Alligator mississippiensis: one gene and its partners. The protein of the gene in region 1 purifies or fractionates together with the protein of each later gene. This does not show direct contact. Links are inferred from orthologs where the notes say so. Each region holds a gene or a part of one and is shown in the gene's direction. Other genes may lie near its edges. The genes, in order: BCORL1, YAF2 and SKP1.

The links.
Region 2: the proteins of BCORL1 (region 1) and YAF2 purify together in Homo sapiens (affinity purification with mass spectrometry; 5 studies listed by BioGRID and IntAct, counting the BioPlex papers as one, with this or other methods). This does not show direct contact. The link is inferred for Alligator mississippiensis from reciprocal best matches to the Homo sapiens genes BCORL1 and YAF2.
Region 3: the proteins of BCORL1 (region 1) and SKP1 purify together in Homo sapiens (affinity purification with mass spectrometry; 3 studies listed by BioGRID and IntAct, with this or other methods). This does not show direct contact. The link is inferred for Alligator mississippiensis from reciprocal best matches to the Homo sapiens genes BCORL1 and SKP1.

The regions. Positions count from the first base shown.
Region 1 is NC_081831.1:40,004,568-40,014,333, forward strand, and holds the start of BCORL1 (BCL-6 corepressor-like protein 1), read left to right. Parts: upstream 1-5,924; 5' UTR 5,925-6,007; intron 6,008-6,568; exon of another isoform or gene 6,569-7,468; intron 7,469-9,766. UniProt on the Homo sapiens protein: Transcriptional corepressor. May specifically inhibit gene expression when recruited to promoter regions by sequence-specific DNA-binding proteins such as BCL6.
Region 2 is NC_081827.1:58,021,288-58,031,015, reverse strand, and holds the start of YAF2 (YY1-associated factor 2), read left to right. Parts: upstream 1-5,393; 5' UTR 5,394-5,620; coding exon 5,621-5,646; intron 5,647-5,774; coding exon 5,775-5,900; intron 5,901-9,728. UniProt on the Homo sapiens protein: Binds to MYC and inhibits MYC-mediated transactivation. Also binds to MYCN and enhances MYCN-dependent transcriptional activation. Increases calpain 2-mediated proteolysis of YY1 in vitro.
Region 3 is NC_081832.1:70,029,297-70,038,844, reverse strand, and holds the start of SKP1 (S-phase kinase-associated protein 1), read left to right. Parts: upstream 1-5,817; 5' UTR 5,818-5,925; intron 5,926-9,548. UniProt on the Homo sapiens protein: Essential component of the SCF (SKP1-CUL1-F-box protein) ubiquitin ligase complex, which mediates the ubiquitination of proteins involved in cell cycle progression, signal transduction and transcription.

The DNA.
Region 1 (9,766 bases):
GGACATGAGGGCAAGGAAATAGACCATGAGGGGCACAAGAGTGTAGATTTTTCCAGGGTATAGTTTGGAAGTTAAATGATTCAATTTTAGCTAAGTTACATGGTGTGCATGAGGTAGTCAGGGAGGCTCTTGACACAGGGGCTCCTGTGATAAGTTTCAGAGAGCTGGGAGTTTGGGGTAGGTAGGAACACTCTCCTACAGGACTTGCTTGAAATGGAAATATGTGGCTAGAGACAAAGTGTCCCTTGCATCCTGGAGCACCTGGTTGGAGACACCTGGGGCAGACAGGCCACTCCATGTGTCAGGGGAGCATAATGGAATCCACCTAGGCTTGCTGACCACGGTCTAGGATGGCTCTGATACTGGGAACACCATTCAGAATGAATCACACACAAGGGGATCTCAAACCCCTATATATTCAAGGTGGGACTGTAAAACAGGGGCTCTGGGGGAAGGTCCTCTGTAGTATCTGCTGTGATGAACTTCCAGGCCCAAAAGAAGTCCTGGTAGATCAGCTATTCAGAGTAGCTGTCAGTCACATCTTACCTCAGAGCCAGTGGATGAAGATGTGTGGCAGGAAGTTTCATGCTGGACTATAAGTGTTATAGAAGAGTATCTGCAGAGCCTGGAGACAGACCATATGATCCTGGCTGCAACATGCAAACTTGGCCATCCCCACCTTCTCTCAGAGTGCAGAGACCTAGCGCAGCCCCTGCCAGAATTGCTCCAGAACCTTCCTTTGAGTCTTTCCTCTGGATGGGCACAAGGGCTGAGCTAGTACTAGATCACAGACAGGACCAATTGGTTGATAACCAGCACAATCCCCTGAAAGGCGCTGCAGCAGCCCTGCCCACTTCTGAAACCAGCCTGGCACCTTGGCCTCCAGCACATTTCAGGTGGCCCACAGGGAGGGATTGGCGGCAGAAAAGTTCACGTAGGGCAGCATATGCACAACCCAATGGATGGTATGGAGCACAGGTAGGAGGGAGCCCACTTGCTACTCATCCCCCTTCATCATGCTGGAGCTCTTGGACCAGTCAAAGAGGGTAAGCAGAGGAGAATGCTGAATGACAGCTTGGCAAGCTTCCATCCACACCAACAGGTTCTGTCAGGGTCCAGCTGAGCATTATCAAACCCTGCAGAGGCTTACAGCATGCAGAGGAACTCTAAAAATGGTGACTGATGCTGGACCTTTGAACAATTTCTATGAGACACTCATGGTCCATCTTGTCAAAGTACAAATACACTATAATTTCTCCTAGTCAAAGGACAGGAAGGCACGTGACCATCCTTACTTGTTAGCTGGAGGAAGCTCCAGGCCAGGAGCAGGTTGTCTAAGATGAACCAGCTTAGGACTGTGGAGGTCTGGTCAGAGTGAATCATATCTGATAGCATAGACCCCAACAACAGTAAGATAGTCTTTGCTGTGACCTTGCAGTTGTACTGAAGGGTAAGACACCAGTTCCTCAGATCACAGAGGTCCCCCATTCCTGGGCAGCAGCACTAGCATGGTCTCCTTTACAGGAGGGGGAGCTCCCCACTCCCCAAGGAGTTGGTTTAAATCAGTGGTTTTCAAACTGTGTTCCATGGAAACCTGGTTTCCATGGAACCCCACAATAGGTCATCAGGGATTCTGCAAAGAGATCGGGGGTAATGGCAGAGTGGGCCGGGAGATAGTGTGCCACCACTGCTGGGCCAGGTTGCTTAGCTCTGAATCAACTCATATAGCCCACGGAGCCAGGGGTAGGGGTTCCACAGCAGAAGTGATATGAAAGGGTTTTGTGATTTTAGAAAGTTTGAAAATGATGATGTCCTATACGCTGGCAAACTCTGGGCTGAGGACATCACAGAATAAGCAGTAGGTATCTACCGCTATCTTTTCAGTGTCGGCACAACCCTGATTTTTTTCCATTCTCCTGGAATTTCCCAATTTTTCAAAATATGATTTGCTATTAACATCAGTGATTCAGGATAGCTCTTAACCAACCCCTTTAAAACCCTTGAGGACAAATGAACGGCCTTTGCTGATTTAGAAACAGTAGATTTTGGTAAAACGACGCAGCAGCTAACAACTGTAAGAAAGTCAGTATTCACCCCTCCACTGGCTTCTCAACATGCATTGTATGTCCCAAAGCAGAATTCTTAGAAAAATAAAACACAACTCATTGCTTTCAGAAAGTCCATCCACAAGACTATAGTAAAAATTCCAGAGCTGCAGCATATCCTATTCTGTGGGCATCCTCACTATTACCTTTGAAGCAGCACAATTCTCATTCCCTTCTCATTGGGATAGCACTGTTGGTATCTCTCTGGTAAGTTAAGGCCGTCTTTTCTTCAGACTGTTCCAGTGCTTTTGCAAAGAGCAGAGATGACTGGTTGAATTTACATCCATATGAATTACCTCAGCGGGGAACAAGAGCCAAGTTAACCACTAGGGAAGGGAGCACAAAGACCAAGATAAGCAATGGCAAAGGGGAAGGAAGGGCTAACATGGAAAAGAAAAAAATTATATATTCTTTCCCAAATTCCTAGTTACTTTCCCAAAGTGAAAGGAAAAGAGTATGTTTCCTTTCTCCCCATAGTCAGTGTTCACTGGCCCGAAACAGCAAACCCCACACTCTTTTGAGAGCTAAAAGCCTATGCTGCCGAAAGCAACTTTCTCTAGTGATCTCTGGAGAAGCCACTACAGAAATCTATAGGTAATGCAAAAATCTGCAGTTCATTGGAAATGTAAAAATAATGGACAAAGTAGAATTGAATTTATCTTTAAAATAAACAACATATGACTCCCATTCTGCCCCCACTGGGCTGGGACAGGGTAGCGAAGGGCTTAGACTGGAAATATAGCATAATTATTGGGCCTTTGCTCACACTCAGGTCTCTTGTCTGAGACTGAAGCAGTGCAAAGGAATGTTATCACTTAGCTGACAGTAATCTTGCTTTTTGCCTTCCTCTAATATTGCCTTCCCTTTACATTTTACTCAGTTGTAGCTTTCATTGCTGCCTGCAATTTCAAAGTTTCAGTCCTTACAGCCAGCACTCCTATCCTATCTAGCTTAGGTACTTACAGAACCCCACCTTTATAGATCCAAATACCTCCAGAGGATTTGAAAAGAGAAATGGCAATCACCATGCTAGCCTGCAGGAAAAGTAGCTCAATTAGTTCATAGGATTTGTTCCCCTCTTACATGGAAATTTTGTCTGCATGAGATTAGCTTAGAAGGGAAGCTAAACCAAAAAGTAGAGGGTTGCAGTTGGTTCTGAATGCCATGTAGATAAAGGTTGTCTAATTTCTGAGCAGCTGGGGCCTGCACACTGCTTGTCACAGGCCCCTGGACTGCACCTCATGAGGACTGCATACTGTGGAGGCTGCACACCTCATGACCCACCTTCCTGAACCCTGTGATTACATGGGGGCTGTCTAACTGGTGGCCTTGGGCTGCATCCAGCCCACAGGGTGTTAACACATGTCCTCTTCCCACTCTGCCCCCCCACCCCCACCCCCACCCCAGTGACATGCAGACCACATGCACAGTGCAGCAGGAGCAATGGGTGGTGGGAGGTGGTGTCGACTGGTGAGAGCCAGGGCCACATGTTAACCTGTTGAGGGCCAGATGCAGCCTGTAGGCCACTAGCTGGACAGCCCTGATGTGGATCTTGGTCTTCTCCTTTCTTGTTGGGGAATATTTCTGTGGGAAGGCTCTGTCTGTGCTCAATTTCTTGATCCTACCAGCTGTCATGAGGGTCATAGCTGAGGAAAGTTATCCTCACAGAAAAGCAGGACTAGCCAGCCCTAACCAAGATTTTCAAATCTTGGAACCAGATTCCACATTTATAAATTGCCAAGACCTAGAAAATGTATAACAACAAATTGCCTATAGAAGTCATTTTCCCTCATACCTCATTAACCATTTCAATGCAGAAACATGATAATATAATGGGCCTTTACCCCCCCAACCCTGCAGAAATTGGTGAATTGTGGAAGAAATTTGTCAAACTGGAGGGCAAGTCAGAATGACATTGGGGAAGGGGGGAGTTGAACACAGTATGTAAAAGGAAGCCCTAGAACCTGGAACCCACCAGCAGTAGTCCCTTGCTCTCAGACGCTGTCCATCTTATAAAATCAAGGGCGGGGCCCCTCTCTGATAAAAAGAAAGTTCTGCGGGTAGGGATGTTAGAGAGAACAGTAGGCCATTCAGAGCAGAGGGGCAGGGAAAACCTTGCAGCTCAGAGGAGGAAAGGCCAGCACACTGGAGCAGAATGGGGTACATCTCTGGTGTGAGGTGCATTGGGGGGCACAGGGGCAGGGACTGAAGGAATGGGGACAGAGATCAGGGGGACGGAAGTGGAGGAACTTATGGCTTTTGGCCCACACCTTAGCAGAGATGAGATCCACCTAGGGGCAGCAGAAGGGGCAGGGCCCTGGGGCCATAAAAGGAAGAGCCCAGGCTGCAGAGGGGAGGGCAGGGCATGCCAGGGAAGGGGTGGTGGAGCAGACAGGCAGAAGGCTGGGTACATTTGCACCTTCTGCAGTAACTGTATGGGGAATAGGTGAGCCTTGACAGGCAGCCACTTGCTTCAGTTCAGGTCAGGGGTGGAAAAGGAGGCCGTGCCAGCGGGCGGGCGTGGGGCAGGATGCTCCGGGACAGGCAGAGGGGACGGAGCCGAGGGAGCGCTGGGGCCCCGGGGACAGCACGCAAGGAAGCTGGGGCGGGTGAAGACACGCGGGCGGCAGCGGGGCGCAAGCAGCTCTGGGCAGGACGAGGGACAAAGCGCAGCGCACGGAGCCGTGCTCGGCCCGGCTGGGGCTGCAGGGGGCGGGGGGCAGGGCGGGGCAGGGCAGGGCAGGGCGCGGTCCCGCGCGGCTCGGGCGGTGCGTGCGGGCCGCGAGGGGCCGGGGCGGGAGGGGCAGAGGAGGTGGCGCAGGGGCCGGGGCCTGCGAGCGCGGTGCCCGGGGCGGGGCGGCCGCTGAGAAACTTCTGCTCCGCCTGGCAGGCGACGGGGCCGGGCGCAGCGCAGCAGGCGGTGCCGCTCGGTCCCGCATGGCGCGGGCGGCTCCGCGCTAAGTCTCGCGCGGGCGGGCGGGCGCCCCGCGGCGCTACCAGTCCGGGGAGCCCGGCCGGCGGGGCCGCCTCCCCCAGTGACAAGCGCAGCTTGGACCGGGCTCGAGGATGGGGCTGATCGGGCGGCTCCACTCCGGCTGGCGGGGCCTCCTGCCCAGCTGGCCGCGTCGTGTCCCGGCTCGCGCTCGGCCTCCGCTTCCCTCCCGGCTCGCGGCGGGGACATGGCCCGTGGCGCGGCGGCGCCCGGCGACGCGGGGCCCCCGCCGGGCAAGGCAGCGCCGGGCCGCGCCGCGCCGCGCCGCGCAGGGAGCCCGTGGCGGGGCGGGGCGGGGCGGGTCCCTCGGCCCGGCCCGGCCGTGGCGCGTGCGGCGGATCTCGCCGTCCCGGGCGCGAAGGTGCCGCCTGTCCCCGCGCGGAGCCGTCCGGCCGCCGCCGCCCCGGGCGTGCAGCGCCCGTCCCCGCCGCGCTCGGGACTCGATCCCGCTTCCTCCCCGCGCGCGGCGGCGGTCCCCTATGGGGCCGGCCGCTCCCGGGCGTGGGGCTGCCCCCAGGCCGGGCCGGGCCGCGCGGAGCTGCGCCGCGCCGCGCTGCGTTGGGTGCGGAGCCCCCTCCCTGCCTCCCTCCCGTTCCCTCTCCGGACTCGGCTGGCTCTGCACGGCCCCCCCTGTGCGGGCAGGGCGGCGCGGGGCACGCCGGGAGCTGTAGTCCGCGGGGCCGGGCGGCGCGGCGGTGGGGCGGGGGCGGTGCGGCAGCCGGACTCGCCTTCCCGGCAGCCCCCGCGGCGGCGGCTCGCTCTCGCCCTCACACTCCGGCTGCCGCTGCCAGTGTCTCCGCCGCCGCCGCCGCCGCCGACCCTCGCTCGCGGCGCCCAGTGTCCGCCCCGGCCCGCCGCCCGGGCACGGCCCGGCTCGGCCGCCCCTGTCGCCGCCGCCGCCCGGGAGCAGGTGCGTGGCCGCCGCCGCCGCCGGACCCCGGCCCCGCCGCCCGGGCACCCCGGGCCCGTCCGCCCCGCACCCACCGCCGGGGGCGCCGGACGGAGCGGGCGGGGTCTCCATGGAGACCGGCCCGGGACCCCGCGGGCAGGGCGCGGGGCCCGGCGGGTGGGATGCAGCCGCGGGCGGGGAGCGGCGTCCGGGAGCGGGACGGGCGGGGCCGGGCCGGGACCGCGGGCGGTGACAGCGCGGGGCTGCGGCCCGGGGCACAGTCGCGATCCCGGCCGGGCGCCGCCGCCGCCGCTCCCCGCACGTCCCTGCCAGGGGCGCCGGCTCCGCGGGCAGCGGCTGCCCAGCCGCGCGCCACCCCGCACCTGCCACGCGCGACGCGACGGGCCGGGCCGGGCCGGGCCGGGCCAGGACGGCTGCTGGCGGCGGGGGGAGGCGCGGGGCGCCTGGCGCTGCGCTGCGCTGCGCTCCGCTCCGCTCCTCTCCGCGGGCTGCGCGGGCGGGGCGGGGCGGGGCGGGGCGGGACGAGCCAAGCCAGTGGAGCCGAGGTCCGGCCGCGGCGCCCCGTGTCGCAGCGGGCAGGGCGGGCCGGGCCTGTCCGGGCCCCGCGGGGGGGGCGGTGGGACTGGAAGCCGGCTCCATGTTCTGCTGGCGAGGCGCCGTGCTCCGCTCCCTGGCTTGTTGCCAAGGCGCCCCTCACTCGGGCAGAGTTTGGCGCTGGACGCGACGCCCGCTGGGGCTGGGGCGGGGACGCCAGGCGGCGGAGCAGGGAGAGCTGCCTGTCCCCTCCCTTTCACCTGGGGCGGCTGCTGTGGGGGACAGCACCCTTGGGTCCCGGAGCCTGCACCTCCCAGCTGAAGAAGATCCAGGCAAAGCTCTGAGGAGGGGTTGGGGACCAGCTTCTCAGAGCACAGCTGTGGGCCAGAATCTTGTGCTTCCTTACTAGCCTTGTTGTGGCAGCCTCCCTCCATATGGGGCTGGGCACCACGCCTAATTAGGGTCAGGGCTTGCCTGCACTGGAGATCTTGAGCCCAGGGGTCACGTTCCCTTTCCCCGCACAGGACTTTTCTGCTAGTGGAACTGTGTCCATGCTGGAGCTCTTGCCCACATGGCTGTAGTGGCTGAGGGTGTGATTTCGCCCCATCCCCTTCACTCCTAACCAACCAGCTTGTGCCAGCAGAACTTTTTAAGTAGAGACTAAGCCTAACAGGCCACCCCTGCTCCAGCGGCCTGACAGGATAACTAGACCACGCAGATAACAGGTGAAGGGGAAACAGGCCGAGAGGGACGTGACTTGCCCAAGGTCATGTAGCAGGTCAGTTGCAGAATAGGGAATGGAACCTCATGCCTTTCCGTCCCCTCCTAGTCTGGCCACCTATGATCTGCACCATGCTGGCACTCCACAAGAGAGACCTCTTCCCTCTGGGTCAAAATGATCTTGCAGGCAGCTTGTTGCAGAGACAGGTACAGGCCTCAACTACTGCAATCACGTACAAAATATTTTGTGGGTGCCAGAGAGTGGCTGTCACCCTTGACCAATTTTGCTTTCTAAGGATCAGTTGTATTTGAGGGTAGGGGACTGCTGCAGACTTGTTCTTGACGTGTTAAAGATGAAGGGCATATTTGGATTCAGTGGGAGGAGTCTTTGAACAGCCTCACTGGGTAGGAAAGTGAAGCCTTCCTTTAGTTAAACTTGGAAAGTTTACAGCTGATCCCAGGCAAATGGATTAAAATATCTTGGTTTTTATGGTGGATGGAACTGGGTCAAGGGAGCACCAGCTCTTGATTTTTTGCAAGGTAGAGTGCTGCCCATGTGCAGTGTCAATGAAGTTGGTGAGACTGCGTGGATGAAGGGGCTTATTTACCTGTGCAGCTTTGAGACTTTGGGCTGTTTGCATGTTAGCCTTTTTTCTTACCATTTCTCACATTACTTCCATCAGTTCAGATTAACAAGGGCATCAACAATGTGAGGACTAGTATAGACCTAGAGTCAGTGTTTTTGTCACCATGTGAATTAACTCTGTAAATAGCAGACCAAGGAGATAGTAGAAAACTGAATCTAATAGACCAAACCTTTAACAAATAATTAAATGGAGGAATTTGAAAAACTGGGGCTGAAATGGGGTTGGGTGGTACATGTTTTGATTTAGTGTCATACCTAATAGTTAGGAAACATTTAAATAAAATGATAAATTTTGTATTTTTTTTCTGGATGTCAAATTTTGTAAAGGTTTCCCAGCTTTTATTCCAGTCCACTTTATGAATTTGTTATAGAAAGCTTCTGTAGGGGTGGACTTTTTGCCATGAGAGACTGAGTGACTAGATGCAGCATTAGCAAATATTGGGGACTTGCTTTTTAAACTATGCTAAATTTTTAGGAAACTTTCCAGGCTTAAAGTGGGGATGACTTTTTCAGTGCATTATACTAGCCATTTGCTGCTACTTATAGTGTTACTGTGTCTCTGACCTGGTACAAGTGAATACATACAGGCAAAGGTTAGCTCAGCACAGCAGTAGCTGTGGTGTCTGGGTTGGAACATTAGTTAGTAAAGTTGAAGGCCCATGGTTAGGGCTAGATTGTGATCCAGTCTAACAGCCAAATTTAGCATGAGCGGGTCCTATTGAAGTTAGTACTAGATATGATCTGGCTTATTCAAGACTCCATTTGGTTTTAGACAGGTAAAACATTTGTCAGCGTTACAGTTCTAAATTCTTCAAGGGAAGTATTGTGATCACAAGAGAAAAACACAGTTTGCATTCACTTCTGTAAACCATTTTCCTAGCTGGATTCATGGGCCATGTATAATGCCTGCAGTAGGATTGTCCTTCTCCCAGTGCAAATGGGTTAGTTAAAATGGTTTGTGTGAAATGCATATGGGACGTTTCTCAAGGCTCTTTGGATTTATCATTGAGCGGGCTACCACATTTCAAATGGACTCTCGAAGATGCCATGCTGTAAACAAATTTTATTATTTGCTTGTGCTACCAATAGCATCAAAGATTACTAAATTGAAAGGAACACTAACAATAAATGTGATGATTAAGTGATGCAGTTTGTTTCCTTTTGGCATTTCTGTAAGTTTCACTGAGAAGTCAGTGAAGTTAGTTTCACTTTTGTTCTGTCACTTTCAGTTAGATTCTCCAGCAGAAGTTCTGTGCCATGTGTACTACCAAGTGGTTGTTGATGTGCTCAGAACAAATGGAATTAAAAAAATATATATGTATGGGTCTCAGATGTTGCTACTCTTTCTTAATGTATGTCACATTTTGTTCAGATCAGAGACTGAGTGTTGCAAAGATATCTACTGTAAGTGCATTCCAGGGTCAAAGTGCAGCCCATGTTAGGTGTTTCACAGTGCCTCTGGCTAAGTTTTGTACAGCACCTTTTGAAAGTAGCCATGTGCTCATCCTCTGTAGTAGTTGCTACAGAGGAGGGCACACAGGGAAAAATTCCAAGGTTGGGAATTCTCAGTGTCCTTTTGTCAAGACATGCTGCTAGTGTGTTCCACTTCAGAGAAAGAAGCTGAGAGCCCATCACAGGAGGAAGAGGAGGGAGAGCAGACAGACAAGGTTTATGGTGTTCTTAAAGAACCTAGAGCCCAGCTATATGCATTTTTCTGTCTGCTTTGCCAAATAATATTAGCAGAGGAATGGTCTGAAGCAGGCCTTGCGGATAACACCATTGGCCTTAGTTTTGCATAATGCTGGGAATTTGCCCCAGTTACAGCCACCAGCATACATGCAGCAGTTCAATGCCTAGTA
Region 2 (9,728 bases), on another chromosome or scaffold:
GAAGGAGGCTATGAATAGAATATGTATACAGGCTATCTTCTTATTTCTAGATGATCCTTTCTACCCAGGACTGTCTTTGAGGCCTACTAGTTGCACAGAGCGAGGTTGTTCTCTAACTGCTTACTGGAAATAAATGTAGGATTTTAGAGTCCAGAGCTGTCAACCCAACACCTTTTAAATTCACTAAAGAATGAAAAAAATAAAGTTTAACCAAACCCAATACATTAGAAACAAAAAGTGACTGAAGTTGTTCTTATTTGACAACCATTCAGTGTCAAATGTGAAATGGTGGTGCCAGTCCTGTAGGCAACAGATGACTAAGTCATAGAAATCAACACTAGACAAAAATCTCTCTTTTGAAGATTTATTTGTATAGCAAAGATGCCATGGAATAATATTATAACTTAGGAGTCCTCTAATTTATGTACTTTTGTCTTGCCAATGTGCCTTGAACCAAACAGTTACAATCACATTATAAAGCCAGGTTTCAGCTGTGTAAAGACTTGTTCACCATTATTTAATAAAGTTATACTGGTTTTATACCAGTATAATGTGGTGGTCAATCAGGCCCCAGGACTGTATCTTAATTCCATAAAACAATGTAACATTCTTCAGGCCTGTTCATGCAAGATCCAACCGTTTTACAATTTGGTTCTGGCTTTTGGGTGATACAATATGGTCTCTTGATATATGGTAGTAAATATTTCAGTTGCCCAGGGGGGCGGGTGTGGAGGGAGGTAAGGGCAGCATGGGAGGCACCAAAATACAAGTTTGCCTAGGGTGCCATTTTCCCTAAGGCCAAGTTTGGTTAGGAATGATAGTTGTGGGGTTGGCAACTGTGGCTGACCATCACAGAAGTTCTTTCCAGGAAACAGTCCCTCAGAGGAAAGAGAAACATTGCCACTGCTAGGTTACAACATATCCCAGGGTTTTGTAATTGGTGGTGAAACATTTTTTTTTGCTGCTTTTAATTTCTATTGTAAAATTTGTAGCGATAGAGAAAAGGTCAAGAAAAAGAGGTTATTTCAAAATCATTGCTCTCTCAGTTGGAAGAAAGAATATGTTCCTATGTATAGTGGAGCAAGGGCAAGAGGGAAAAGGGCACAAGGAGTCAGGTTTTCCCATTGTTTCTAATCTTACGATTTCTTCACAGCATCCAGGTATCCAGTTGAGCACTGGACCCCCCACTACGTATCCAGCTCAGCAGTGGAGCCCCTAAGCTGTATCCCTCATGCAGACTAGGCTCTGTGTGACAGTATAAGGGAAAGAACAAAAGCAAAAGAACTGGGAAGGGTAATAGGGTAATACGGTGAAGGGTATGGAGGGCAGGAAGAGTGATGGTGTTGGTGGACTGTAATGGAGGAGGGCTGGAAGAAGTCAGGACAAAAAAAAACACCAAAAAAACCCCACATACCAAATAGAGCAGGATATTCAGACTTAAAATTTTTTAAAAGGAATGAACTATTATCACTGCTGTACAGAACTGTGAATGCTGGCTTGGGGGTGGGAAGGAAGCCAGGGCAAGAGACTCTGGATGGTTTTGGAAGTTTAAAGTTAATTTGAATTAACTGTGTGAAGACAATAACTTCTGTTCCCACAGTTTTTAGGAGTCCCATTCAGGGATGAGGATCCCATGGCAATATTTTTTTTTTTTTATTTGTACTTAAGAATCCATAACAACAAAAATATATCTGTGCGTGTGACCCACCCAGCCCTAGATCTCACCCAGTTGCTGCTTCCCTCATCACTCTGGCTGCAAGTCTCCAGGCTCCCACATCCTTCCTCTGCCCTTGCTGCAGGGAATGGGGACCTGAGGGTGAGCTAGCTTACAATTTCAGATCTGCCTCTCCCTCTTTCAGATATGCCTCTCTCACCTATAGCCCACAATTTCAGATCTAGCCTGAGGAGTTAAGGTGCAGGGAGGGAAGGGAGAAGGTACACTTGCACCAAGACCTTGCAGCTATGGCAAGGAGCAGTCATGGGCAGGTCTTAGCGCTGGCCTACCGTGGACCTGATGTAACACAGGGCTTTCTCGGGGCTGGTCTGTGATTGGCCCACCCACCTGTTTCTGGGCCAACCGCCTGCCTCCTCATCTGCCACACCTTGATGATACATAATTATGGTGTTAATTAGGCGGAAGGCTGCCTATTCTTGCCCTGATGCCAGGGGGCGTTATCTGCAGCTCTGTTCCTCCCCTACACCACAGCCCAAGCCTCACAGATGGCATCCAGGTTAATATTACTCTTGGCCTCAGACCAGAACAAACCAAGTCCAAAGTTGGGCTTTACACACATGCACATTCATGTCACCTCCCCTCTCACAGGAGGCCTCTTCCACTCCGCCCCTCTCTCACCCAGGCCTCTGGCATACTGCTCATTACCAGGCCACACTCCATTGCCCTGCTCCTCCTCGAGCAACTCCTCTGGGCTATCAGGCTTTGCTACTCGCACACTGGCCTCACCACGCAGCCCCTTCAGTTCCCATGAGTTCCCCTACTTTGCATGGTCCGGCATTATGCCAAACCCTAGGCTAACTGCACCCCATACTAGGCAACTCTATACACTCACACACATACTGGGCTCCCAGCCCTCTGGTTTCCCCCTCACTGGGGCTCCACACCCACCCCCTCACTGGGGCCACAGGGCTTCCCTCCCCAGTGGAGATTTAAGGTGGCTGCAGCCATGCCTAGCCCTGTCTGGGTCTTACACCATCCTTGGGCTCAGGTGGCCATAGCCATGCCTGGCCCCCTTGTACCCATAGTATTATGGGGGCTAGGAGTTAAGGCACCCCAACCCACCTTTCACCGGGGTGGTAACTGGCCTGGTATTTCCTGGGGGTTCCTGCACCACCAGGCCACCCACTCCCAGCAGGGTGCAGTTTTAGGTCATGCCCAGGACCAGGAACCTCCAAATCATCCCTTTAAGCTCCTGCCTGTACCACCAGGATATTACCTACAGCCTTGCAGCCAGGCAATGTTTCTATCTAGCCTGCCAGTACCGAACTGCTCTGTTTATATAGGCAGCCAGAGATCTAAAATGGCCGCCACAATCAAGCACCTGCTGACTGCTTGTCTCAGCCCTTAACGTGGCAGACACCAACAGTGCCCTGCCACACCTGAGCTGAGGCATTCTGGCTTACTGCTGATATTAATATATGCAGAGATGATCAGAGTGGGGTGTGGGGCCCAAGGCAAATCAGCCTGTTCAGGGCCCTACCCCAGGACGCAAGGAAGCCAGCAGCAGATTAGGCAGTGTGGGGACTGCCAAATGGCCAGACATGAAGCTGGTGGCAGCATGGAGTCGCCGCGGCCGCTCCGCCTGGCTCTGTGGGCCCCCCCCAGAGCATGGGGCCCAGGGTAGTTGCCCCAATTTGTGTTGCCTAGGGATTGTCCTGAATATATGAATGCTTTTCACCCTAATGCAGTTCCATGGCTAGCTTCCTAATGGACCTTCACGGGAGTGGTACCATTTTTATCATGGAATGGGCTAGCTGTTACAAATATCATTCTAGAATAATGTGAAAACTTGATTAAAGAAGGAAGGGTTTCCACACCGATTTGAAATGATCAGATTCTGAATTAGTTTAAATGTCATCTGGATTGTTATTCCATTTGTCATCAACAGAGAATGCTTCATTCTCTGTGGCTTTGTGTTCTTTGTCCTGAGCTTTGACCAACATTGTTCCAGAGGAATGCAGCTATCTTGGAAGTTCCTAGCCCTAGATGGTAATATAGTCTTGAATTTACTCAGGGCCAGATCAATTAATTCCTCAGAAGAGAATAACTGGGCATGTCTACATGTTCATTAATGCACCGTAATCACAGCACATTAAGTTTACTACCTGTAATGATAGGTATTAAATGTGCTGTAATTGATGCTACCGCGCATTACAGCAAACGCTTTTTTGTGATGTTAAAGTGCATTACACTAAGTATATTGGGCATTAGCGCAGTTTTGCCAGCCACGCTAATGCGCACTAGACTTAGTCTAAAACATATTAAGATCTTGTGTAGATGCGCCCACTAAGGCCTTGAAGTAGCAGTAGTAGCATACTGAGCCAGCCCTTTGCCCACCCCACAGAGAAGGTGAGAAGCCTCATTCTGCACTAGCTATGAAACCTCCACATTGCTTTCAGATTTATATTCAGGGAAATACCCTTATCCAGTCCCATGGATACCCTTATCCAGCTGACCAACCCATGGATTTCTGAGGCCTGGTCTTTGCATGAGAAGGAGAAGTAAAGTTTGAAGAGGTGGAAGGATTGGATCTTTTGGACTGAATATTGGCTCTCTGAGGCTTGGCCTGCCATCAGCCTTTATACAGGACACAACATGACAGCACAGACTGTCTTAAATAGTAAACACAAATGGCTGTCACAGGTATGCAAGGTGGACAGTACAGCAATGTGTTTACAGCCTGCATGAAACGCACGTGCCATCACTGCAGAGCAGGTCTGTTCTCTCACCTACTGGAACCCCAGAGGAGCAGGGCTGGAACGGACCCCCAGAGGTCACCTCGTCCAATGGTTTTCAACCTTTTTCCATTTGCAGATCCCTAAAAAATGTTGAGTGGAGCCCTTGTGACTGCTGGTAGCCATGTTTATGGGCCCCTCAGACATTGAAAACCACTGGTCCAGCCACTCCCCTGCCTAAGGCAGGCCCACCCCTACCCAAACCGCCCCACCCCAACTAGGGTTCCCAACTCTGTTTGCATCTATTCCAGGAGGTGCCTGGAACACCCACATGCCCATGACAGACAATGTGAACTTGTGTGTATCAGTTACACATTACCGTGCATCATTGGCGATGTGTAGGGGGAGGCACCAGTGGCCTGCGCTGTGCGTAGAGTTGAGGTCAGGGAGGCAAATGCACATTCCTATTACATTTAAAAAACCCACTGGGGCCTACTGTATAAGTCAGATTCAACATTTAATATTTAGCTTAAGGAATGCCCTATCATTTATCTCCCAGGTGGCTCTCCTGGAGATCTGTATCTAATCCGGGAGACTCTAGGGCAATCCTGCAGGGTTGCCAACCCTAATCCCAGAACAATTTAGCAAAACAAGCCCTGCCACAAGACAGGACACCCCAGCGCAGCCCGGGACAGCAGGGCCACGGCGCGGGCAAGGGCTAACGTGCCCTCCAGAAACCCCAGGAAGAGGCCCCACAGCCCGAGCAGGGGGGAATCCTCCCTGCCCTCCCCAGGTCTCAGCAGGGGAGCGCCCGCTCCGGGGTCCCGCGCCCGGGCGCAGGGCGGCCGTGCAGGCCTCCCCCTGGGCGGGCCGGCGGCGCTGACTGCCCCTGCGTGCGCTGCTGCTCCGCCTCCTCCGGCGCTGCTGGGCTGCGGGGGGCGCTGGTTGGCGGCGGGCGGCACGTGAGGCGGGAGGGGGCAGCGGCGGCGGCAGGAGTTCCCCGACAGCTGGAGGTGGCGGCGGCTCCTCCTCCCCGGGGCCCGGTGCAGGCAGAGCCCCCTCCTTCCCTCCCTCCCTCCCTCCCTCCCCCGCCCGCCCGCCCGCCCGCCCGCGCTCGCTCGCTCGCTCGCTCGCTCCTCCTCAGTGACACATACACAAAGGGCCGCGCGGCGCGGGGCCGGGCCGGGCTGCGGACGCGTCTGGAGCCGGCATGGGAGACAAGAAGAGCCCGACCAGGTAGGGGCGGGGGCCGCGCGGGCGGGAGGCCGGGGCCGGGGCCGGGGCCGGGGCCGGGGCCAGGGCGGGCGGGCGCGGGGCGGCTGGGCGCCGCGCCTGTCTCCCTCCCGCTGTGGTGTGCGTTGCAGGCCGAAGCGGCAGCCGAAACCCTCTTCGGACGAGGGCTACTGGGACTGCAGCGTCTGCACCTTCCGCAACAGCGCCGAGGCCTTCAAGTGCATGATGTGCGATGTGAGGAAGGGCACCTCCACCCGGTGAGTACCGCCCGCCCCGGCCCCGGCCCGCGGGACCCCGGAGCGCCGAGCTGTGCCGCCGCGCACAACAAAAGCCGGCGGCGGCCGCGGGGGCGCTGGGAGGAGGGGGGACACAGCGGCCTGGCGCGCAGGGCGAGGCGGATCCGGGCCCCGGGGCTGCTCCCGTTTCCCCTCGGATGCAGCCGCCCCTGCCCTCTCCAGCCCCATCCCCCCACCTTGTCCTGCTCATCTGTCTCCCTTTAAAGCAGTGATTCTCACCCAGATGCGTCCTTCCCCCCCAGACGCACCCCAGCGCATTGGATTCTTACAAGGGTGCTGCAGAGGGTGCCCATGGGTGCTCCCACCATCACATGCACCCCAGTGGGTCAGATTCTTGCAAGGGTACTGCGGAGGGTACCCATGGGAGCTTTCCCCTCTATTGCCCTCCCCCCGTGCGTCAGATTCTTCTAAGGGTGCTGCGGACAGTACCTGTGGGTGCTTTGTCCCCCAACAGGCACCCCAGTGGGTCAGAGTCTTGTCAGGCTGCCTCAGAGGGTGCCTGTGGGTGCTTCGCCCCCAGTGTGTCATGTTCTTGCGAGGGTGCTGCGGAGGGTGCCCGTGGGTGCTTCCCCCACCACACACATCCTGGTGCATCAGATCCTTCCAAGGGTGCTGCAGAGGGTGCATGTGGGTGTCCCCCCAACACATGCACCCTAGTGGGTCAGATTCTTGCAAGGGTACAGCAGAGGGTGCCCGTGGGTGCTTCGCCTCTAGTGCATCGCATTCTTGCGAGGGTGCTGCGGAGGGTGCCCGTGGGTGCTTCCCCCCACCACACGCATCCCAGTGCATCAGATCCTTCGAAAGGGGCTGTGGACGGTGCCCATGAGTGCTTCCCCCCACCACACGTGTATCCCAGTGCATTAGACTCTTCCAAGGGTGCCACAAGGTTTCCAAAAAGAAGTTGGCGGCATGGTTGGCAGTCTGGCCTGTTGGGGTCTTTCTGAGCATGCAGCAGCGGAAGAATTGCCCTCCTGTCTTTCTGTAGGCAACAGAGGAATGAAAAGTAAGATGCGGCTATTTCCTGAGGGGCGCCCTGAGCCTCCTGATGGGTGCCTTGAGTCTTAATAAGGTGGAAAGCTACTGCTTTTAAAGGCCTGCCCATTCTCTTGTCCATTTTGTTCCACCTTGTCCTGCAGATTTAGTTTCTGTAGAGGTGGGGAATTTATTCTTTCTGGAAAGGAGCCTAAATGGGCTGAATTATAGGATGCAGAAGCCCCCCACCTCCCTGCCTGGACTAATCAGTGACTTATTAGAAGACCCTTTTTCTGTCAAAATGGTGCAGTGATTTCACTGGTTTTGACCTATGTCTCTGTAGGTTAATATTAGTAGGGTGGAACCTGGATAGGAGGATGGGGAATTCTGCAGAATCAACAAGAATACAATTGTGCAGTCTTTTGTGTGTATAAGTTTGTATGACTATGCTTATTGTTTCATCCTATTAACAAAAACGAGTCTAAAAATAATAGAAACCACAGTCCTATTGAGTGAAGTAAACTTTATTTCAGCCATGGAAATACTGAATACAACTCCATCAACAAACGTATGATAAAACAGTGTTTGAACTACAGAATTGCAAAAGTGAATAGATTAACTTTATATGAAAGACTCATCTGCATTTGCAATGTGCATGTATTAGATTTGTGAAAAACGTAATTCACTTTCTAAAGTATTTTTAATAACTTAAGGTTAGTTTTAAAAAGGTAGTTTGTAGAAGGAATTTTTATGAGAAAATCAGTCAGGTATGGTTGGTAAGCAAAAATACATCTCATGAATATGGTGTTATTCAGTGACAAAAAGAAGATTGGCTTTATTCTTATATCAGTTTTCACAGCTATACCTTTTTTTTTTTTTTTTACAGACCAGTAACATTCAGCAGAAAATTATAATGCTGAAAGAGTGAGTGCAAAATTCCCCAAACAAGTTTAGTACAAATGAAGATGACAGCCTCTCATTGCCTTTATTAAGGAGTCAAAGCCAGTTAAAATAGTGATTTATTGTTCTGGAAAATCACTTGAACAAAAGTATTAATTTTTAAAGGTGGCATTGGGTAAAAGAGAGCTCTGGCAAACAAGTGATATTATACAGTAAAAAAAATGAAGATTTAATTTTGTTTTTCATTATTTAGTGAAGTTTTGCTAGGCACAGTTTAAGTAGATTTATTGATTTCCATTTCCCCCACTTAAAAAAAACAAAGTTGTTTGAAATCTTTTTTCCCTATAAGACTGAAATGGATCCCATTTCTACGTTGTCATTATGCCAAGTCTTGGATTTACTCATACCTGTTAGATACTTGGGTACATGATTCACATGCATGCAGATTGTAAGCTTTGATTCTGAGTTGGTTTTTTGTTGGTAAACCCTTGTTCCCATAGAGAGCTGTTTTTTAATCTGGGGCTTCACGCTGGCCTAGAGATGCATCTACACAGTTCTGTTTAGAATCCAAAACAAAGTCACATCTGAACATTTGGGCCATATAATACATAAAACAAACTAACATGTGTTTTGTATTTGATGAAAGATTAGTCATTTTCAAAATAATTTTGTCATTGGGTTGAGATGAGGCAGTAGTGAATTCTCTAGTCTTTTGTTTCAGATGACATGTTTTCATAAATTAAACTATGGCCTTAGCATAGTTCTTAACGGGGATTGGTTCACATCTCAAAATCTCTGTCCAATTTTTCACCAAGATGACAGCTTCTTATAATATATTGTAAGTTATTGGTGAAATTCCTTGGCATTTTAAAGAAATCTGTTACCCTGCGCTTTGTCTTTTGGTACTTCTTGTATTCGGGAGTGCTAAGTGTCATAACATTCATTCAAAGTTGTGGGGGGAAAATGCAACCAATCACAATCAGCAAATATTACTGCTTTTGAAAGCCAGTGGATAACAGTTGAATATTAGACTGTATTTCTGTCTGTTGTTTTGTTGATAAGGACATACAATTAATTTTATATTTAACGTTTTGTGTCTTGACATATTTCCAGTGTTGAATAACTTAATTTTTTTATTTCCACATTTTTAGGCCAATGAAAAGGCATTGACCCTTTCAAAGACTTGAAAAAATTAAGATTAGTAAAAAAAAAAAAAAAAAATTGTATTATAATATATTTTTGAATTATACTGAATATTTGAAGCAGAGCATTTAAAGTAGGCTGTGTCATGAAGTTAAATTAATTTTGTCTGTGGCAGTATCATCTCGCATGCCTAAACTGGGCTGCACTTTATATGGGAGACCTCCAAGAGAACCACTGGATGCTAGAGGAAGTAGTATAGTGATTTCCTAGATGGCACTGTTTTCTTTGGGTTAGTACTAAATCAATACCTTAGCATGGTGCCAGATTTCGATGTGCTGTCATTTGAATAAAATATAAAACTAAGGTCCTGGTTTCTATTTAAAAATCCTATTGCTTTTGACAAATGAAATGGGCCAAATGACAATATGGGTCAATTTTTTCATGACCTAAATTTGCCTAGTATATATGGCACGCTTTACTCATTTTCTAGCCTCAGTTGTTGTCTATTGTTACTTAGTTGCTCATTAATAACTATGTTCTCTCTGTAGTGGACTGTTTCAGAGTTGAATAGAGTAATTTCTGTGTGTATAACGTTTGTAAAATGAAAGATGTTTTATAAGTTTAAGGTATTTAGGACTATAATCCTTCCTGAGTCAAGTAGATCTCCCACTGGAGTTCATTAAAAGTTTTATATGAGTAAGGGAAGCTAAGTAGAGTCCTGACATACTGTGCTATAAGGGGAACTGGGAAAAATCCCTCTATTCAGGTTGTCTA
Region 3 (9,548 bases), on another chromosome or scaffold:
TGTCACCCACAAATATCCTTGTGTCTTGCATACACGCCTCTCTGGAGGATGGCTTGCCTAAGGGAATAATGTCTTGACGTTTAATAGCTATATTGACAACTGGCTAAGGTTGCTTATCACAAAAGGTCACCAAGCATGTTCATAGTTCATCCATCACTCCTGATAAAGACTGGCAGATTCATTTAGAGAGGCAATGGACCCTTGGTTGAATTTCATATAGTGGCATATTTGTCTACAATGTAATACAAAAAGCTTTTTTTTTTTTTTTTTTAGCCTAGAACTCCACCAGGGCTACTATAAGAAGTGTAGTGGCTAACTAAAAGCATCAGCTGCCTACATTCAGTTCATATAAAAAGATTTTCTAAAGAGCAGGGTATACCTTTGCTGTGAGGGAATGCAGCAGGTATTGCATGGTGGGACTCCATTAAATGTCATCTACGCAGTCTCTTCCTTTACATTTCATGGATTATTAGAAACCTGTTTCATTGACCAGGCAGGGAAAGAGGATAGGAATAGGCTTGGGGAGGGAGCAGAGGTGATTTGTGGCACACCTGCTAAAAAGGTTGGTCCCTATGGCAGTCTAGTCTGTTAACATTAGAGACATCCCACAAAGTTTTAATTTAAGTACCTCCACCTTTGTACAACAGCCCTGTTACCTTTATAGGCCAAAAAGTTATTTCTGTAGAGGTCACTGTGAGTACAGGGATTTAATTAAGAGTTTATTTTCAACGGCTGTTTCAGAATAATTTGGTATATCTTCTAATGCATCAAAGAGGCAAAATATGTTATGTTGCAGGAAAACGCTTTTATATTTAGTGATGGTTGCATGGCAAGGGACAGACCCTTGCTCCATCTTCTTCTATATTGGTGTCTTAACCATTAAACTATCCTTTCCATTGAGAATGTAAGAATTGGCCTCACTTGATAACAGGAGAGAGACTTGACATTTGTTCTTGTCACGATTTTGTATCGGAATGGACTGCTATTCTGTTTGTCCCAGTGTCCTATCTCCTATAATGGCTACAGCAAAAAATCTGTGAAAGGTGAGAGATTCCATTAATTCTCCAAATGACTGATTCCAAAGCCTAAACTGTTTGCAAGTGGAGGAACTGCAGCACACAGGCTCGTGCCTGACACTTCCCCTTTGGTCGGTTAGGTCTGTGCATGTCAGAGTTAAGCCTGGCACCACCTGGTGGATAAACTAAGAGCATATTTTCATCAGCAGTTTTGTATCTGTAGCTGTTGCTTTTCCAACTTTCCCATTTATAGGTGACATGCGTGGTTTTATATCCATGTTTGTGTCTGGTAGGTAAAGGTGGCCTACAAACTTTAAGGGTTTTAAGATTAATTTGTCCCCTCCCCTTGTAATGGGAGCTTTAATTCCCACCCCTCCCTCCCCCCAATTTTACCTAAACTTCAAAAGCAGCCTCTTTCGAACCTTGCAGAACTTTTGTACCATTTAAAGCAGCTCTGTCTCTTAGTACCAGACAGACACCTGAGGTGTACATATCTCAGAGGTAATTTTTAACTCCCATGCCTAAAGTTTGGGTGTCCATGGTGTGTGTTTGTTTTATTCCATCTGATAATACTTCTCTAGGTACTCATGTAGTCCTCATACCTACAATATCTGGACTTAAATCTCCTGATTTTTTCTGTGGGAAGCAAGTTATGTTAGTATTATTATTGCATTGTTTACTCAACTTTGCAGACCATGCAATAATTTAGTAACTGGTGAATGTATGTACCCTGACTTTAGGACAGAACTGCTGAAGTGCCAAGGTAATTAGGGTGTCTTAAATATCTACAAAAGGATGGGTCAGTCAGTCTGCATTACAAATACATTTTGAGTTACAGCTTCATTTTGAATTTTCTTTTTAAAAGTAAAATATTTGACCTCTCCAAAGCATTTCTCTAGCACTTCTAATCCTTGCAGCATCCTGGGAGGTAGGTAAGGATTGTATTCTCCATTCTACAAACAGGGAAAACGAGACTGAATGGGCAAGTGACTCACCCAAGGCTCTGCATGAAGTTTGTGGCAGAGCAGAGGTTACAATTGCAAAGTTCCTGGTTTCCAGAAGTGGCTTCAACCTTTACATTGTTGTCTCTTACCATAATCTTACTGTTCTCTGATTTTATAGTTTGTACTTTGTATGGCTTCATTAGAATTTTGTGGAGTTGTGGCTGCATAGTGGGATCTATCGATCTGGAATATCTTCTGCTAGGGCGAGAAAAAAGTATTTAACTATTGACAGCTGGCTCACATTGTCATGGCACAAGGAATAGAATGCTTTCTATTTGAGTCATGAACAACTGCAAGACAATTTTTTAAAGTAATGGAAACTGGCAGTGCTGTAATCACGGCAGCACATTTTTTATTTTCTCCTGAACTATCAACAGTCTTTTTGCATAAATAATATATAACAAGAAATGCAATAAGGGTATATGGTAGCTGCACTATGGGGTTGAAGGGTTACTTGAAATCAGAATAAATCGTAGAAGTCTACCTGTGAGTGAAGCAATAACCTTTTGCCAAATGGCTCAGAAGAGTAAGTCCAAGTGCATTTGACTGGTTCAGTGGCTGTGAAAATTAATGTACACATACCTGCTTTCCTACCTGTTCATATCCCTAAAAAAACTGTTTTTTTTTAATTTCTATTACATGTGGGAAAGGTAGGATTTACTAAAATAATCTGTTAATCCTAAATAGGTGCTTCTGAATTAACACCTTCTTTTCCTGACTTTCCACAAATGGTATTGAAGGCTGAGCATGATGTCTAGAAGTCTGACCCCTTGAACTGTGGGCTCAGTCCTAGCAGTTGTCTCTGACTTTCATGCAATCAGGAAGGGCAAACTGAGTTCCATGCTGTGTACTGCATATGAAACTTTAAAGCTTATAATTCTGTATAGGATTCAAGGATCCGGCATTTATAATATATGATTTATAACCATAACTAGTCCTTTCAGGTGCTTATATGGATGGATTCCAAATAACTTCAGAAGAAAGTTGGTTTCATTATCCCTATCTCACAGGTGGGGAAATCAAGGCAGACAGTGAGGAAGTGATTAATTTAAGAGGCCAGCAGAAGAGCCAGAAATAGAATAGAAATACATCAGTTCTTCAGTGGGCTTCTGCCCTCCACCCAATGCTGTTGTCTGTTTATATGCTGAAAAATACTAGGATTATTTGCCCTGGAAGTGACATAATTTAACTCATACTTATCTCAGTAGCTAAAACATTTCATCCATTTCTTTTCATTCATTCTTCTTTTTTGCTTCACTTTTGGTTAATAGTCTATCAGTAGTAGAAGGCCCTGATTTTAAGATTTTTTTTTTTTTTAGATTTGTTTGTGGTAGTGCTTAGGACCTCTCTAACATACTTGCTCAGGTTTCTGCCTATTATCTCTGATAACTTTTATCCTTTTCTCAGCTGCCTTAGTGAAGGATGAGAACTTTTTTGGTATCTATAATATCCCAGAAATTCTCAGTTACTGAGTTCCAACCAACCATCTTTCCCACACACGCTTTAATGTCAGAGGGAGTACCAGGATATTACACAGTGTGCCAGAACAGGAAGACTTAAACTGAGATGTCTTTTTTTATATCATGTGTATAATTTTAGGTCTTTGCCATCTGTTTTACCATGCTGTTTACTTTTTGATGATCCCAGCTACCAGGCTGCCATATTGTCTGTATTGTCCACTTTGCTCTCAGCTTTTTCTGATGTCTCTATATCCCCAAGACCAAACGCAGTGGTAGGGCATACTTCTGAAAAAGCAGGGGTGAATTCCAGGTGGCCTGACTTTGCCTCTGTAGGCACCTCATTCTAGGACAGCAAGGTCTCAAGAAGAGGAAACTCTCTAATGCTAATCAGGTCAGTGGCTTAGGTGCTCCTTTCTTTTTTATTTCACTCCTGCTCATCTTTCTTGGGTCCCTGCTCAGGATTCTCAGGATCCTTGTTGAAGGCATCTAATTCTCTCTGCATTGTATACAGGGTCTGACTAAGGATTCCCCAAGGTGTTAGGCATTATGGGTGCATCCAGACAAGCAGAAATGTGTGCTTCCCTGGGGACACCTTGTGCCACTGCTACTTGTCCCTGGGGAACACCCGTGCCATGTGCACTCTGGCACGTGGCAGGTTACCCTGGGTGGGGTAGGGGAAGCTGAGGCCAGCAACTGTGCTGGCTCTGTATGTGCCAGCTTTACCTGGCCCATATGTGCTGGTCCCATATGTGCCAGTTTTACCTGGGGCCCTGGGGACCTCCAGCACCTGCAGCCATGGTGCTTCTGTGGCAGGGAGCTTGGTCGACAGCTGGAGCATGGGTCCGGCCAGCCAAGCTCCAGTTTTGGATGGCGTGCACTGCCACCACATGCACCATCCCTCTTTTTTTTGGTGGGGGCTTTTTTCACCCCAGGATCTCCCAGGGTCAAAAAACACCTGTGCCACAAAGTAGTAGTTCAAGGAACGCCTGCTTGTGTAGTGTGGCTCCACAGACAGGTCCATGCTCAGCTGGATGTGCCCTGACACCTAAATACCCTGAGGTTTTAGCTCTAAGAGCTTGATCCTATTTAAGAGCTCCATTTTTGCCATCCCTCATCTGTTTACACGAAGCTTTGCTAATGTTAGGGTGGGCAGGTTGCATCCACCTGCATGGAGTTCCTTGCGGGCTCATTGCTTAAATGTATTGTGGTCTCACTCACAGACCCACCATCTAGCTCTGTGCCACACAAACCTGCATCAGTTGAAAATGTCCTCCAACTAGTATTGCTTATGCATATCCACTTTACAGCTGCCAATTGTATGAAGCAGCAGCTTTAAATTATCCTTGGCATTTCTAAGACCATGTATTAGACAGTAGAGACCTCATTCGCTGGTCTGCTGGGTAGTTGCCAAAGATTTCACTGCGTTTGTCTGAAATGCTAGTTAAAGAAACTGAAATGATATTAAATGAATATATTGCCTTTTAACTTTCCTTCACCATAATTTTTCTTGCATCTTGAGTTTTAGTGCTTTGGCTCGCAACCGGGGCACCTACCTGGGCCTTGAAAATAATTCAGGGTTTCTCTGTCAAGCACTGAAATACAGAACCGTGCCAAACAGTGCTTGGCAATTTATTTGCAAGGGAGGGCACTAGGCCAATCTTTCCTCAGCAATCATGCACTGCAGTAGAGGTGGCATCTCCCTTTCTAACGTAATTTACAGCATTAACACACTCAATTCTAGCTGTCGGTGCAGCTTTTAGATTTAACCGTTGCTTGGCCAATTGATCCTTGCCCTTCAACAGTCGTTCCCCCCCAGCCCCCGCAGTAGTCTTCTTCTTTTTGAGCCACCTTCCTCCCAATGTAACACAGGGACATTTCACTCCTTCGGAGGAAACCCTAGAGTTGAAGGCATAGCCGATCAAGTTTGCACTCTGCTTTTCCCTGCAGGAGTCAGACATGCAATGGGATGATGACAGCAAATAGCATCTGTTTATACTGCCCTGGTCCTTGTGGAAGCTGGGCTCTCTCATGGTTTGCACGAGCTGCTCCCGGGGTTGAGGTAGAGGGTCGAGCTTATGCGATGAAAACCCACCCGGGTGAGGACGCCCGCCCTCCATCCCCTTTCTCCATGCTGAGGCGCCCGCTGTTACCAAGCGCGTCTCCGCTGCGGACAGCCTCTGCCTGAAGGACCCCGCTGCTCCTGCACTCCCCCGCCCCCAATGTTTACCTTTCGAAAACCCTCCCCCTCACCCCCTATTTCCTCTCAGAAGTGCAGCTTGCCGCACTTCCCTGCCCCGAGCGCTCAGGCGATCTGCGCGGGCAGCCCCGGAGCTCTGTGAGGCAGCGCTCGTTGGGGTCCTTCCTTCCCGCCCCGCCCCCATAAAAGCCGCCGCTGCAGCCGCAGTCGGGCCTGAGGAGACGCCGCCACCCGGTTGTAGCCGCACGGTGAGGCCCGGCCCGGCCCGGGGAGGGGACGGGGGAGGCCTGGTCTGCTTCCCCGCCGCTGCGGAGCTAGCCCGGGGGGGTTGGGCCTGGTCCCCGCCCGCAGCTCTGCTTAGTCACCCCGGTCCGCGGGCTGCTCCTCTCGCCCGGCCCCGGCGGCCGCGGAAGCGCAGCCCTGGTCTGAAGGGACGGACAGGCTCAGCCCCCGGGTCATTCAAGGGGGGGACCCTGGAGCCCTGTCGAGAGGCCGCGGGGACCCCCCCCCCCCCCCCCGGCTCCTCGTGGCCCGTCGGAGCCGGCCGAGTCGTGGGCTTGAGCGCGAGGGGGAGGGGAGGGGAGCGGGTCCGCGGGCAGGAGCGTCAATCCCGGGCAGGGAAAACCTCGGTCGACGCGCTCCGGCTCCTAACGAGGACTAGTGCATTTGGGGTGAAAACTGCTACGAGCATCTCACTCTCTTTCCCGAGCAAACGCAGGGCTCGCGGCGCCGGTAGGTGGGAAACGCGGGGATGATATAGCCGTGGTGCGTTGGGGATGGGCTGCGGTGTTTTTAAGCCCCACGTCTGTCCGTCTGTCTATCTTTGAAGCAAAACAAAACCTCTATTAGATAATCGAGGTAAAACAACTGGCTTAAATTTCCTTGATCTGGAGTTTAAGTGACCGCCTGCGCAATACAAACAGAGCCTAAACCTATCGCAGTCCAAAAACAAACCAACGGAAAAACCCTCATAAAATTGGGGATGAGCCTCGATTGTAAGTTGTCTTGCCTGTTCGAAGTCTTATTTTACCTAGCGGTTGGGAAGGTAGACTTGTACTTGAGCAAACTCAGCTTCTCACTGCAGGGTTGGACCTCTTGGTGGTAAGAAGTTAACATTTTTAAATTCAATATTTGCCTCTTTTTTTTTCCTGGGGATGACACAGCAATGTGTTGCTACAACATGGGGCCCAACTTTAATGAGTTTGTTAGTCTCTTCTAAGTTTATCTCTCTAAGATGTGGTAATACTTGCATTTGGAGGTAGAGTGTTTTATCAACATGAAGCAGCTCTGCCAAGTAAACTTGAAGAGGTTACTTTCTTCCTTTCAAACATGAAGATCTATGGCTACCGTCTGCTGCTGAGCAACCTGCATTGGCTGGGCTCCATTGGCCTGCGTTTGTTGCAGTGCTGTGATGAGCTACAGCAAGCGCTCGCTGTCAAGCAGATGGAAGTGAGCTGAAAGTCATATAGCTGGTCAGCTGCTCTGACTGCAGTAATTTTGAATCCATGAGGTCCTAGGCCCCTCAAGAGTTTGTGTATTTTTGTTTTGTTTGTTTTATTTTGTGTATGTATTTCAAGCAGGCATCAGTTGAGTAATATCTATGAGTGATCTCTGTTTACCCTAAAAGCCTTTTCCCAAACAATTCTTAAATGGGTTTGCAGACTATTTGAGGATGCGTAGCTTAAGGGTTGCTTTTCAGTTGCCTGCTCAAGGATCTCTAACCTATTTTGACAGTCTTCTGCAAAACAAAACATATAAAGGCCAAAAATGGCTTCATACTGATTTATTTTACTTTATCTTTTTTGCAAGGAAACATATTGGATGAATGCATTACTAAAACAAATCTAACTTGTATAAAAGCCAATTATTTTAGACTAATCCCATTGTGTGCACCCTAATGCGAAGGGCTAAAGAACCGGCAAACAAGATGTATACAACCTTACAACAAACATCTTAGTTGTAACTAATTAAAGCTGATTCTTGCCAAAATAAGCAGTTTGATTTCAAGAACGTTATTTGAAGCAATTCTAGACTTCATGGGCTAGAAGGGACTCTTACGCTAAACTAATCGCATGCATGGTACTCAGAGCCTTATCCAGTAACATCTGCATCATGCTTGTAACTTTTTTTTTTATAGGAGCTTAACCAGTAAGTTATTTAAACATTACTGGTTGCAGCATGGATTTGAGAATGTACTGTCTTTTAAATTTTGTTATAATAGACTCCTTTTACAGGAGCCTTTTCTTACAGGTAAATGCATTAAGAAGCAATTGTGTTGTCAGGTGCTGAAAGTAGGGGTGCACTGATAGAGGTTTTTGGGGCTCATACAGATAGCTAATTTTTGAGGAGGCATATTAGCTGATATGGATCTGATTTCTGATACAGCTGCATCCAGCTGGTAAGACTTATGGTGGAAGGGAAGGAGTGGGGGGCAGACCCAGGTGCCCCAGCCCCACTCCCTCCCTTATCATGGGGCAAGGGCTGCCCAGCTGGGGCAGAACAGAGCTGTGGTTTGTCTGGGGAGTGCAGGGGTCTGTCTGGTGCTCTCCTGGGAGCTCCAGCTGCTTGTCTGGCAGGGCATAGGGGATGGGGGAGTAGGTGTGTGCCTCTGGATCTGCGTGGGGTGAGCGGGGCTGGGGCTGAGCTTGGGGTAGGTGGCTCTGAGAGTGGGGCTATGGGGGGACTACAGTGAATTTCAGGGTGGCTGCAGCCCCCCCATAGCCTCCACTTCCAGTGTTGCCACTGCCACTTGCCCCGATCCAGGGGCACACGCCTCTTCCTCCCCACCCCCCCAAGCGAGTGGCACGGGTGGGAGCCACCCCCCCCCCCCCCCCCCCCCGGATGAGCTGTGGCCGGGCACTGCTTGCCTCAGCCCCACTCTCTCCTTCCCTCTCTGCAGGGGGGCCTTGATCTGTGCACCCCCCTCCCCCCCCCCCCCCCGGTCCCTTTCACCACAACAGACTTACTAGCTGGACACTGCTTTTCAAGCTGCGGGGCTATCCTCGCTGCCTACGTGCTGTGTTGTGACTGCACATGCATGGGCCATTTATCAGCCATATCAGGCCAATTTCTGATGCTGCCAATCTTCTTTATATTGGTGCTTATCTGATATTGGACCGATGGATCAGTGCACTTCTAGCTGAAAGTTCTCTTGAGTATACCATGGGCAAGCTTTCACAAAAATACAATGCCAAGCATACTTCACTTCTAAGGGGGCTTGGCCAAGAAACCAGGACTTCAAGAGTGCTTCTAGATCTAATTTAATCTGAAGAGCCCATGACTTGCATGGAGGAGGTGCCTTAATTTTAAGGCCGCTTTTAATCATGTTGTTAATGTTGGGTTTTCTGGAAGGTTTGCTGTATCACTTAAAACCCTAATTTGGAACTAGTGGCCACATCCAAATGAGTGTGGCTGTACACTATGTGGCACAGCAGACGCATCTGCGGCTCTACCCGTCATACATTCAGGTGTTTTCTGCGTGGCAAGGTAGCAGTGTGAGAGGATTTTTGACCCTGGGAGATCTGGTTTTGGGCATACTGCCCAAAACTGGAGACTGGCTGGCTGGAGCCATGCTCGGGCTGCTGACCAGACTCCTGAGTGGTAGGATCTCTGCTGCTGGAGCCCCCAGGACCCCAGGTAAGGCTGCTGGGGCCATCCCAGTGTTGGCTTCAGCCTCCCCTACCAAACCTGGGGTAACTTGTGGCGTGCCAGAGGGTGTGTGACACTGGTGTTCCCTGGGGACAACAAACCAGTGGCACAAGATGTCTGCATTCTTGTGGATGTGGCCAGTGAGGGATACTGTACCACTAACATGGATCACAGTAATGATGTAAGCTCTTATTTTTAGAAGAAAGTGTTATGTAGCTAAAAA